2 linked regions of the Drosophila melanogaster genome follow. The protein of the gene in region 1 interacts with the protein of each later gene in a pairwise test. Each region holds a gene or a part of one and is shown on either strand. Other genes may lie near its edges.

What was found.
Region 2: the proteins of Naa35 (region 1) and Naa30A interact in a two-hybrid assay, tested with the Drosophila melanogaster proteins (2 studies listed by BioGRID).

What each region holds. Positions count from the first base shown.
Region 1 is NT_033778.4:24,134,599-24,139,962, reverse strand, and holds Naa35 (N(alpha)-acetyltransferase 35), read left to right. Parts: upstream 1-1,912; 5' UTR 1,913-2,049; coding exon 2,050-2,102; intron 2,103-2,191; coding exon 2,192-2,564; intron 2,565-2,627; coding exon 2,628-3,195; intron 3,196-3,255; coding exon 3,256-3,437; intron 3,438-3,495; coding exon 3,496-4,533; intron 4,534-4,557; exon of another isoform or gene 4,558-4,595; coding exon 4,596-4,736; 3' UTR 4,737-4,783; downstream 4,784-5,364. Other genes in the region: Zfrp8 (zinc finger protein RP-8), read right to left, coding at 4,793-5,364. UniProt on the Drosophila melanogaster protein: Auxillary component of the N-terminal acetyltransferase C (NatC) complex which catalyzes acetylation of N-terminal methionine residues.
Region 2 is NC_004354.4:1,340,055-1,345,329, forward strand, and holds Naa30A (N(alpha)-acetyltransferase 30 A), read left to right. Parts: upstream 1-2,051; 5' UTR 2,052-2,437; coding exon 2,438-3,160; intron 3,161-3,235; coding exon 3,236-3,481; intron 3,482-3,724; coding exon 3,725-3,889; 3' UTR 3,890-4,716; downstream 4,717-5,275. Other genes in the region: MTPAP (mitochondrial poly(A) polymerase), read right to left, coding at 5,187-5,275.

The sequences.
Region 1 (5,364 bases):
GTATTTTATTCTCGGCGAACTTGAAATGGAAAACATTTGGCGGCGGCGTAAATGTCACAGCTGGATTCTAAAATAAAAATGTATTTTTGTCGGCAACTTACGCGTGAAATTGGCTAATAAGTGGGCCTAATGCGCCGCCTCCTTCGATTTGGATACCACGAAGCGTTAAATTTCGGAATTTGTGTTGGAGACTTTCGCCCGATTCGTTCCGATTCGACCGACCAAGTGAACCGTTAGCACGTTTTTGAAATGATGATGCCCAGCTTTTGCAGGCTTGAGAATCTTATATGTACTCGAATGCTAGGGAGGTGGAATTCTTCTCGCGATTTGGGACCAACGTTTTCGTGTTATTTTTTAATGGCCAACGATAACACATTGAAATGCAATGAGCAAATGAGCGTTGCTTAAATAGTTCGCCGGTCGAACTCAAAAACTCAGTCGCTTCCAATCCCAATCTCTCTGCCCATCCGTTCTGCGTTCTGCTCATTCATTGAGTGGGTTTCCTCCTCGGGCTACCAAGTTCTCTCTGCAGACTACTCAATGTCAGCGGAGGAAGTAATCAGTGGATTTAAGTGGGGATTTAAGGGAATCGCATTCGAATAAGTTATATAAATTAATATACTAAGGGGATAACATTTTTAACACAATCAAATATGTTGCATAACTCCAGGCGCTTTCTTGGCAAGCAATGTAATTATTTTTAAATAAATCACGAAATTACCACTTTTAAAGAAATCAAATAACATATTCAAAATATCTTAAAAGTCTTAAAATATTTAAACTTATATTCCATCTAAAAGTTTTAATAAATACATAAATGAATGTATTGATAAGAAGAATCCACTGTTTATGGGAACATTGTAACCTTCCGTTTAAATGAGCGTTCTGATTTGAGTAAATCGCCACTAGCAAGAGAGATTTGGGAGCCGAGGCAGAGAAAGATTGTGATTTGGGGAGAGCGAGCGAGTGAAAGTGGGGCCTCCGTGGTAAACAAACCAATCCAACCCCTCGGGCTCAGCTCCCACTCGCAACTTGGATACTTGTAACACTCGGGGTGGCGGTCAACCCCAAAATCCGTGGGGCGGGCGTTGCGCCGCGTTGCTCGAAATCCGGAGTGAAACCGCGGAGTGAAAGCGCAAGCGAGCTTTTCCGTTTCCGATAACAGCGGGAACAAACGCGTCTGATAAGGTTGTAGAATGCCTCGGTTCAAGGCATACTTTATTTGCTTTAGTCAAATCGGAGCAAACATAATTAAGTGAGACTAAAGAGAGCTCGTGCTTTGATCCGTGTTTTTTGAACCGCGGAACTGTTCTGTTCGGTCTAGGCGGTCGTCTGGGTCTCAGATAACGCTGGCTTGCACTTTCAGTCATTTTGTTTAGTTAATGGGCCAGCCGCAGTCCAATGAACTAAGCTTTGCTTGTTTACTTCAATTTTCACCTGACTCAGCATTTGAACTTGGTAACAGTTGTAACGGTCGTGGCTGTTAAGCTTAACAGTGCAGCTTAAAAGCCACCAAGGCTCCAAGTTCCACATTTTGAATGCTAACTCACTTGTTTTATGGGTAACTTACAGAAATTCTAAGCTGAAATCATGGGAAAACATAAAAGCACCACATAAATCTTTGCTGACTTTCTTTTAAATGCTTTCAAAACATCCCAAATTAAAACAGTACACTGTTAACTTCGCCAGTGCTGCCAAGTTGGATGTTGGCGGGCTGAAAAATACTGAAGGCATTTATGCTTATACCTATTTAAGACTGTATCAATGAACTACTCTTCTTTAAATTAATGAACTGTTCTATAGATTTCTAATAATCATATAGCCATTGATTATCTCCGCAAAATCAAAAATGAACTTAGAAATAGAAAATTATGACTTGTTTGGTACCAAGAGGTATATTTGCAACATAGAGGCATGGCTGACCGTTCGTCACTTGGTCACACTGGACGTTACATATTTTAATTCATTAAAAATATCTTTTATAAATAAAAGAAAATTTGTAACACATCGAGCTACAGGTTGACCGCCTGTTGAATATAGGTACAAAAGATGTATCCCTCGACCTTGCCGGCGGAGGCAGATCCGAGCACCATGAACGGAAGGTGAGCAACAGACCACCGGCAAGAACCCACAGACGTGCCTACATACAGAGCATAACCATCTAAATGCACATACATACGCATATCCACAGCAGCGTTGCAGAGCCTCCGGACTTCCAGGCTGCCACGGCGGCCGCGGCGGCAGCTGCCCGGGCCAGTAGCTTGGAACAGGACGAGTGGAGCGTGGGCGAGTGCGGATTTCTGGATCCGGATGTGCAGCGCACCATGCGGAGCGGCAGTGCTGCGGAGGACATCACCCAGTACCCGATGCACGGCTGGGTGGACGTAACCAAGGAGTTCCACGATGCCTGCGCGGAGCTGCAGCCCGGGGAACTGGCCCAGGATATGCTGTTCGGTCTTTTTGAGGCCATGTCAGCCATCGAGATCATGGACCCCAAGATGGACGTGGGCATGGGCTTCGACAAGCAGGATCTTCCGCCGCCCTCTTTCGAGGCAGCCATTGCCGTGAGATTTGTCTTTCTGACCCCTGGCTAAGCTATATGTATCTTAATAGATGACTCTTTCCAGACGGGCGCCATCAAACTGGACGATCTCACGCCCTCCGAACTGATTGGCATCTATGATGCTCTGTTTTCCTGCCTGGTGTCCTGGCTGGAGGGCAACTCCATGGACCAGGTTCTATTCACCTGCCTCTACCTGCACGCTCCCGCACAGATCAAGGATAAGGCGCTGCGCGTCTTCTGCACTGCCGTGCGCAATCTCATCGTGGTCATCAAGAAAATTATTGCCGTGGCAGCTGTCAACGAGGAGGAGGACTTCCAGCTGTACGGAAATTCTGCTCTTCTGGCTGCAGAGAAGGCACAGCCAGCCACTGTTTATAGCTCGCTAAAGGATGTGGAGGATGAGCTCATACGCAAGTGCAAAAAGCTGACTTCCACGGAGGACTGGATGGCCGTGGTTCACCGGCTGCGTTTCATGCGCCATCTTTTCCAGGTGATCTACCACGTGGAGCAAATGGCCAGCAATGATACCGTCGATGACAAGGTAGACATATACAAAATCCTGCTTGTGGCCTCCGAGATGCTTCCAGGAATAAGGAACACTTTGGATCGGGGCACACAACCAGAGAAGGGGTGTAAGTGGTCACAGATAACTTGCCAATGTAAATGCTGAGTATTTCCTTCTAAATCACTAGCTGACGCTCCCAATCCCATGGGTTTCTCTCCGCGCATCCACGACCGCAGCCAACCGCCCGCGTTTCCGCGTAGCATTAAGATCAGGGATCGTCCATCCAGTTATCAGTTTCTAGAGGAAATGATTTCGCGCTTCAAATACGCCTGCAAAGTCACCAAGTACAAGGATTACTATTCGGCGCTGGTAAGTGACTTTTTAAGTGACTTCTAAAATAAATTGTAATAACATCCTGGCTTTCCAGAACTTCTTTATCGAGTACAGCAAAAAGTCGGGCCAGTGCATCCTGTCCAGAAGCGTGCTGCAAACCCTGTTCAGCGCCAACATGCGTATGGCGCACGGAAAGCTTCCCATGAAGCAGTTCCTGCGCCACTCGGTTCAGGTCTTCAACTCGCCACCCGTATTGAATGCCAAGCATCCGGTGGCTGCCGATCCCAAGGTGCAGCAGCACCTGGAGAACTTCTTCCGTTACTGCATTAACATGAACACCTTCACGCAGTTCATTCGCATCTGCGGCTTCAATCGCGCCAGACAGCGGGATAAGCTGGCGCGTCTGATAGAGAACTTCGACACCATCCAAGTGGATGCAGCGCGATTGGACTCTATGATGAACCAACTGGCCAACGAACGAGCCATGGAGGGCAACGAGCCCATGGCCACCGCTCTGAAGCACAGCACCCACTTCTCCACATGGGTGCTGTACAACTGTTTCCGTGCGATGCTGATCTTCCTGATGTCCGGCTTTGAGCTGGAACTATATGCTGTGCATGAGTTCCTCTACATCTACTGGTATCCATACGAGTTCCTCATTGGCTTCCTGGTCTCCGCGCTGACGCGCACGGAGAACATCCTCCTGGCCCAGGAGGAGTACGCCGAGCACCAAAGTAAGACCCAGTCGGGCGGCAGCGGAGCGGCTAAAAACCGCAAGGCGGCCAAGCCGAAAAAGAACAAAAAGACTCAAAGGCCGTACCGCGCCGAGATCGTCTTCTACCACGCGCTACTCAGCCTCTGCGGCGGAATGTATAAAGCAATGGGCGCCCTGACCAAAGACGGACGCGTGCGACTGCCGCTGTCCAAGTTCGACAACGAGGAGATCCGCTACAACCGACGCTTCCTGCCCTTCGCCACACTCACCAGTCCTCCGCCAGTTTCGTACGCAGAGTTCAAAAACGTCCGGGAGCACATGATGCGACATAGCGTCGAGGATCTATATACCTATGCGGCCAAGCACTTTGACCAGGCCCGCAATGTTCTCGAAAGCATTCAAAACCCAGATCAGGAGGTAAGTCAATGGTAGTTCTGAATTGGTTTTCCTGGATTAAAATGCGTTTCGTTTAATTTCAGATGCTGGACCTCCTGCAAATCGCACGGACTAACTTTGTGGTGATGAATGTGCTGGCTCGCGGTCACCAGAAGGAAGTCAAGCGGCAGCCAGAGTTCGACTTCTCCAAACACAGCTACTTCCCCATCATCAAGCTGAAGTAAATGTTCACGTGTTTCGTAATTGACAAGAATAAAATTTAAATGTACGCATTTTAATGTCAACTCTGATCCTCCGCCACAATGTCCTGCTTGATGAGAAGCTCCTCCACGTAGCCGTCGATGGGGCAGCTTTTGGCGCAAGTGTAGACGGCCAGGACGCCCCAGTCGAGGTTTTCGTCCTCCAGAAGAGTCAGCGCTTGCGGCATAATCTGAAATTCGAACTGACGCTCTCCTCCGCAAGCAATGCAATTGGGCAGCTTGTTAAGTTGGTCCTCCACCGTTTTGACGGTATTCGTGATCCAGAGGGGCTGGCCTCCACGTTTGTAGCGCACGATCTGATCGGGTTCGGCTGCTGTTTGCTTTTTGAACTGACGAAAGGTCTTGTCATCGGCGGCCGCCGAGTTTCCGAAGTACTTGTCCATCTCCGCCTCGGAAACATTGCTCAAGTCGCCCGTCTTCCCGCTGGACTCCAGCTCCTGGAACTCCGCCAAGCGAGCCTCATCGTCCTTGTCCTCCTCGCCAGACTCCACGGGGTTGCTGTCCATTACAATCTCAAATTCTGGGAAAACGATTTGTGTTAAGGGCTTCTCAGTGGCTACTTCTGGTGCTCCGCAGTTTGGCTTGTGTTGTG
Region 2 (5,275 bases), on another chromosome or scaffold:
GGAGCATCGCGCAAAAAGTGAATTGCTTTAATGCGCCGTGGATGTGCAAAATAAAATTGGTCAAATACCCAGGTCGCAGGCCAAATACCCTAATACCCTTAGGTGGCCTTAGCATACGTAGCTCTTGACTTATAGAACCAACTTCACTGACGAACCAACTGACAATGCTATGTCCGTTGGCTGGGGAGCCGCCAGTTACCATGATCAACCGACACAAAAAATATAGTTTAAAACAAGAAGTCCATGCCATTGTGGCCAAACTGCATATATCATTTCGTCACGTGGGTGCTAAGTGCTAAATTGTATCTCTATCTTTTAGAGATCTCCGCCAGCAAGGTGATAAGGCGTTGGCTGCGGCACCTGTCCGCTCCCGCTCTCTCCCCTTTCTTCGTTACCCTTTCTCCGCCACTGCTTTTACTTTATTCGGCCATTCACTTTCTCCGTATGTTGTTTGCTTTGCTAATTTTGGATTTGCCCGCGTCACTGCAGCAACAGCGAAAAGTGAAACAGACGTCCAGAAAAACGGACGCCAACTTGCGCTTGCAAGTTCGTATGCAAAATTTCAAGAAATTATCCAATCGCGTGGCTCGGATTATTCAATTTCAGTCAATCAAATTCAAGTCCAATTCCGTATGCAAAGTAGGCTATGCTGGTCCGAAAGCAGATCGAAGATCGAGACCGCCTGGCCTCCCCAGCCGATTTCGTCACCAGCTAGTGCTGATGTAGTCCCAGTTCTGGGGGCAGCCAGCCCAACTGAGAGGCAACGACATCGGCCATGCCGAGTTCGTTCGTTACCCAAGTCTTTCGATTATGACGTTGGGAGGAGCTGGAGTCCCCATCAAAGCGACGGGCTATAACGCTAAAACAGTCGACTGATTGCCGTCGTTAAAAATCCACAAAATTGACAGCAAACGGCAGGCGGATTTCTCCTGGCAGTTACCACATACATATGTACATACATTGTAAAATCAGGGGTTATATTTTCATTTGACTCGAAACCTTTGCAAGTTCCGAATAATCCTGCGTTCTCAACCAAGACAAACGGCAAGGAAAGTGGAGGAAGTGCAGATCTCAGGAAACTGCGGATTAGTGACTTATGTGACTTATATGATTCGAGATTGTAATTTGGTTTTATTGCATTTGATTTAGCTGTAATTTATGGATTTTATTTTATGGCGAATGCTAATGGCGCGAAAAGGAAACCAAAAGTAGGCGAAGGTCGCACTGCAGAGTTATTAATTAGTACAACTGAATTTAACTAGTAACTTACCAATTGAAGAACGTTTTTAATAGTTTGGAAATCACAAAACAAAAGAGACAAAAAAATAAGCGCAGGAGAAAACACGCACGTACACACAAACACACACACGTATACTTTTAAATGGCGAGTGTAAGTGAACATACGTTTCGAGCAATTTATTGGACTTCCATCCGTTTTCGGGTAACATTTCGATGCTACTCATTGCCACGACATGCACTTAATTATAACTAACACTTCAAACTGATTTGCAGCACTTTTTTCAAACAAAAGTCCCGTAAATCAAAAATCTTTACGCCGTAAAATAGTTGCTTCTTCTTTAAGAAGAAAAGGAAGAACAAGAAGAGAACTTTGAAATGAGCAGCTTCTTCTTCTTATTATTGATCCTCTTTTCCGTTATGTACAGCACACCCTCGCAAAAAGGCACAAGCTGACGATCTAATTTGGCAAAAGTATTGCAAATACAAATAAGTTAACATTCCAAAGTCAGAAATTAAATGGCAGCTATAAAGAATATAGGTATGAGAATATTACGTTTAAAGATTGTAATAATATTACAAAGATCAAATCTAATCAAATATCAAATATATGAACATTTGCGATGTAAGGTGCATGCCAAATATAAATTTGATAAAATCAACGTAGTTTTAGATTTTATTTAATATAATTTTTAAATATTTTCATTAATCTTAGCTGTTAATTTAATAGTAATAATATCAATTGATAATTCGATAGCCGATAGTCACAGTTGGCCGGCGATGATTGTATCGATAGTATCGAGTGCCAATCGATTGCTGTTACAGCTGTTCGCGCATATGTGTGGGTGGGATTTATTCATAGCAAGGAAAATTACGAGTTTTGCGGATATAGGATTTTACATAAGTTTGCCATGCACACGCACTAGCGCCACAAATCGAGATCGGATTGATCGATCCGGAACTCCGAATATCGGAAGCACAACAAAGAGGACGGCCGACTGCCCCATGTGTGCGTGCGCGAGTGTGTGAGTATGTGCGTGAGCGTGTGCGTGTGCGTGTGAATGAAAAACCATCAACTGTGAAAATATAACCAAAAATAAGTCCGAGGCACACGGTTGCAGGCGAGGATTACCAGTCCTCCCAGATAAGCCCCGGAGGAGCAGCAGGTTCCCTCTTAGAGCCAATTCCGTCGCTTTTCAGAATGGCGGATGCCCAGGCAGCGGCGGCCGGAAAGAAGAAGTACAAGAACAAAAAGAACTCAGCGGAGAAGAACCCCAATCACAATCCAAATTCCAGTGGCCAGGTGGAGGCACAGACACCCAGCAATGGACACGTTCAGCACCAAGAGGAGGAGGCGACGGAAGACCAGGAGCCAGCGCAGGAACTCAGAGGCCTGCTTAAAAAGATGCACCTTTGCAATGGCCATGGTCACAAGGAGCAGGAGGCTCGGCCGCTTGGGGAGGTCGTCAATGGCCATGCACATGGGCACAGCAACAACAATCACATTCGCTGCACAAGCGGCAGCAGCAACAACAACAACAGCACTCACAACAACAACAGCGTGGACAGCAGCAACAACAACCGCAAGCAGCGAAGAGAAGGAGGCGACGGCGGAGGATCGGATTCGAACTCCCTCAAACCGGAGGAGAAGCCCATAACAGCCACAAGCAAAACCACTGCCAACATACACCCAACCACAACGACGGACCCAAAACCAAAAGTGTCGGAGGATGTAGCTGTGGAACAGGGAGTGCATGTGGCGACGGGGAGTGGCCACAGTCGGGAGCAGGAGAGGAAGCAACCGCCCTCCGACTATGCAGAGGGGGCCACGCCCACCATTACAGCACAGCTCCAACTGCCGGAACCTGCCATTTCAGCCGACGAGATCGTATATAAGGAATACGAGGCTGAACACCAAATGCATGTGAGTACCTCCAAGTATGACCAAGTGCGAACTGTGCGCAACACTTATCTAATTCCCCGCATATCGAACACGCAGGACATCATGCGACTGATCCAGGCGGAGCTGTCCGAGCCGTACTCGATATACACGTATCGCTACTTCATCTACAATTGGCCAAAACTCTGCTTCCTCGCCTCGCACGACAATCAGTACGTGGGCGCCATCGTGTGCAAGCTGGATATGCACATGAACGTGCGGCGCGGCTACATCGCCATGCTGGCCGTGCGCAAGGAGTATCGCAAGCTCAAAATCGGCACCACGCTGGTCACCAAGGCCATAGAGGTAGGATGTCTGGGGCATCTTTCCCTTGCAATAAGTTATAAATCGGGTTGCATGTAATCGATGCTCGATATGTGTGTTACGGAACAATTATGTGTTGTTAACTATGGATGAAATTGCCATCAAAGCTCACCAATGGCTCCTCGAGCCTCGAGGTATACTTTCGGGCACATTGGCGAGGGATACATACCAACTACCTCTCTTTCTGTGAAAACTTATATCACACTGCAATTTTCCCATTTGCAGGCAATGCTGGCCGACAATGCCGACGAGGTGGTGCTTGAGACGGAGATGCGTAACCAGCCGGCTTTGCGGCTCTACGAGAACTTGGGCTTCGTGCGAGATAAGCGGCTGTTCCGCTACTATCTTAACGGGGTGGACGCGCTGCGGCTGAAGCTCTGGTTTAGATGAGTGGACCCGGCGGCTGCCGTTGAAATTGTTGTCTAAGTAGCCGCCGAAGATGTCGAGATCTGCGCTCTGCGGAGGACCAGGGCGCTCCCCTCGTCCTGGGTCCTGGCCAGCTGGCAGCTTGTATCGGCGCCCTCTTTTTTGTACCTATTTAACTAGGAAGCATCGTAGCATCAGTTTATTTTCTCCCCAACTCACACCGTCCCTTGTCTCTCTTTCATTTGTAAATTATTTTATTATGTAGCAGCAGCAGTACGAGCAACATCTGCTACATATGCAGGAGCAGCACGAGCAGCACACAACGGACCCGAAATTTGGTTAATTTTACAGGAGGCAATTTTGTATGCAATACGTGATTTACATGCATAAAATTAAGCATTAAAGTCGTAAGCAAGCAATTAGTTATGTACATTAAACAATCTACAAAAACCAATCTAGGGAATAGACAACAACATGAAGCAGCAGCGCAGCACACGCTCATCGACGCCCATTTACAAAGCTATAAACATAGTATCAAATTTTGTAAAAAGATCAATCAAAGCGATGATCGCGCAAGTCGAACGATAAACTCGATCATGTATATCAAAATAAACGCAATTGGAACCAAGAGCTGAGAACAGACACACAAAAATGCAGCCTCATATGCATACTTGTATACAAACCTTCAATGGGTGGATGGCGGTGGTCCTCGCGGCTAAGAAAACTCGCCATCTGGTCTTAAGTAACCTCTCTGTGCTCTCCAGAAACACGTAACACGTAGCGATAAGGATAAAGATGTGGTGGATCCCGAGTAACATTGAAAGAACGCAATAAAATCTTCAACAAATGCGAAAATCCTGCCTTCTGTTCTTTAGTTTAGCACAACTTGGGGAATAGCGAGCTTGTTTGGAAGTTTGTGTGGTGTTTTCCAATTGAGAAACTATATGCCAGTACGGTATTTTCGTTTTATTATCATAAAAAACAGAATTATAACTACTCGAACTAGGAAAGTATGTCTTACGGATAACTACTCATCCACAAAGTCAAATAATGACTGCTTCCTTCGGCTCTTTTTGACGTGCCCCACCGATCTTTCCCTGCCCTGCCACACTTGGTCGCATTCGTCAACAACAATCGGTTTCAATACTCAAAGTCGGATCGATCATGGACTTATCCTAACTAGCAGGAGGTTTTAAAGTATGAACAACATTCAATTCAGCCAACGGCGGCTGCCCTAACCTTAAGCTGGACTCACCATGAATGTGAAGTTGTGGCTTATCCTAAGTATGTATGTACATGGGCGGTGTCAGTCTCGGAAACATCACCTGCTTCGCCGTCGATTATTGGGACTGCTCGTCGGAACTGAGCTGCCTGATCCGCGCAGCTGCTTTAGTTCGGAGCGCGTAGCAG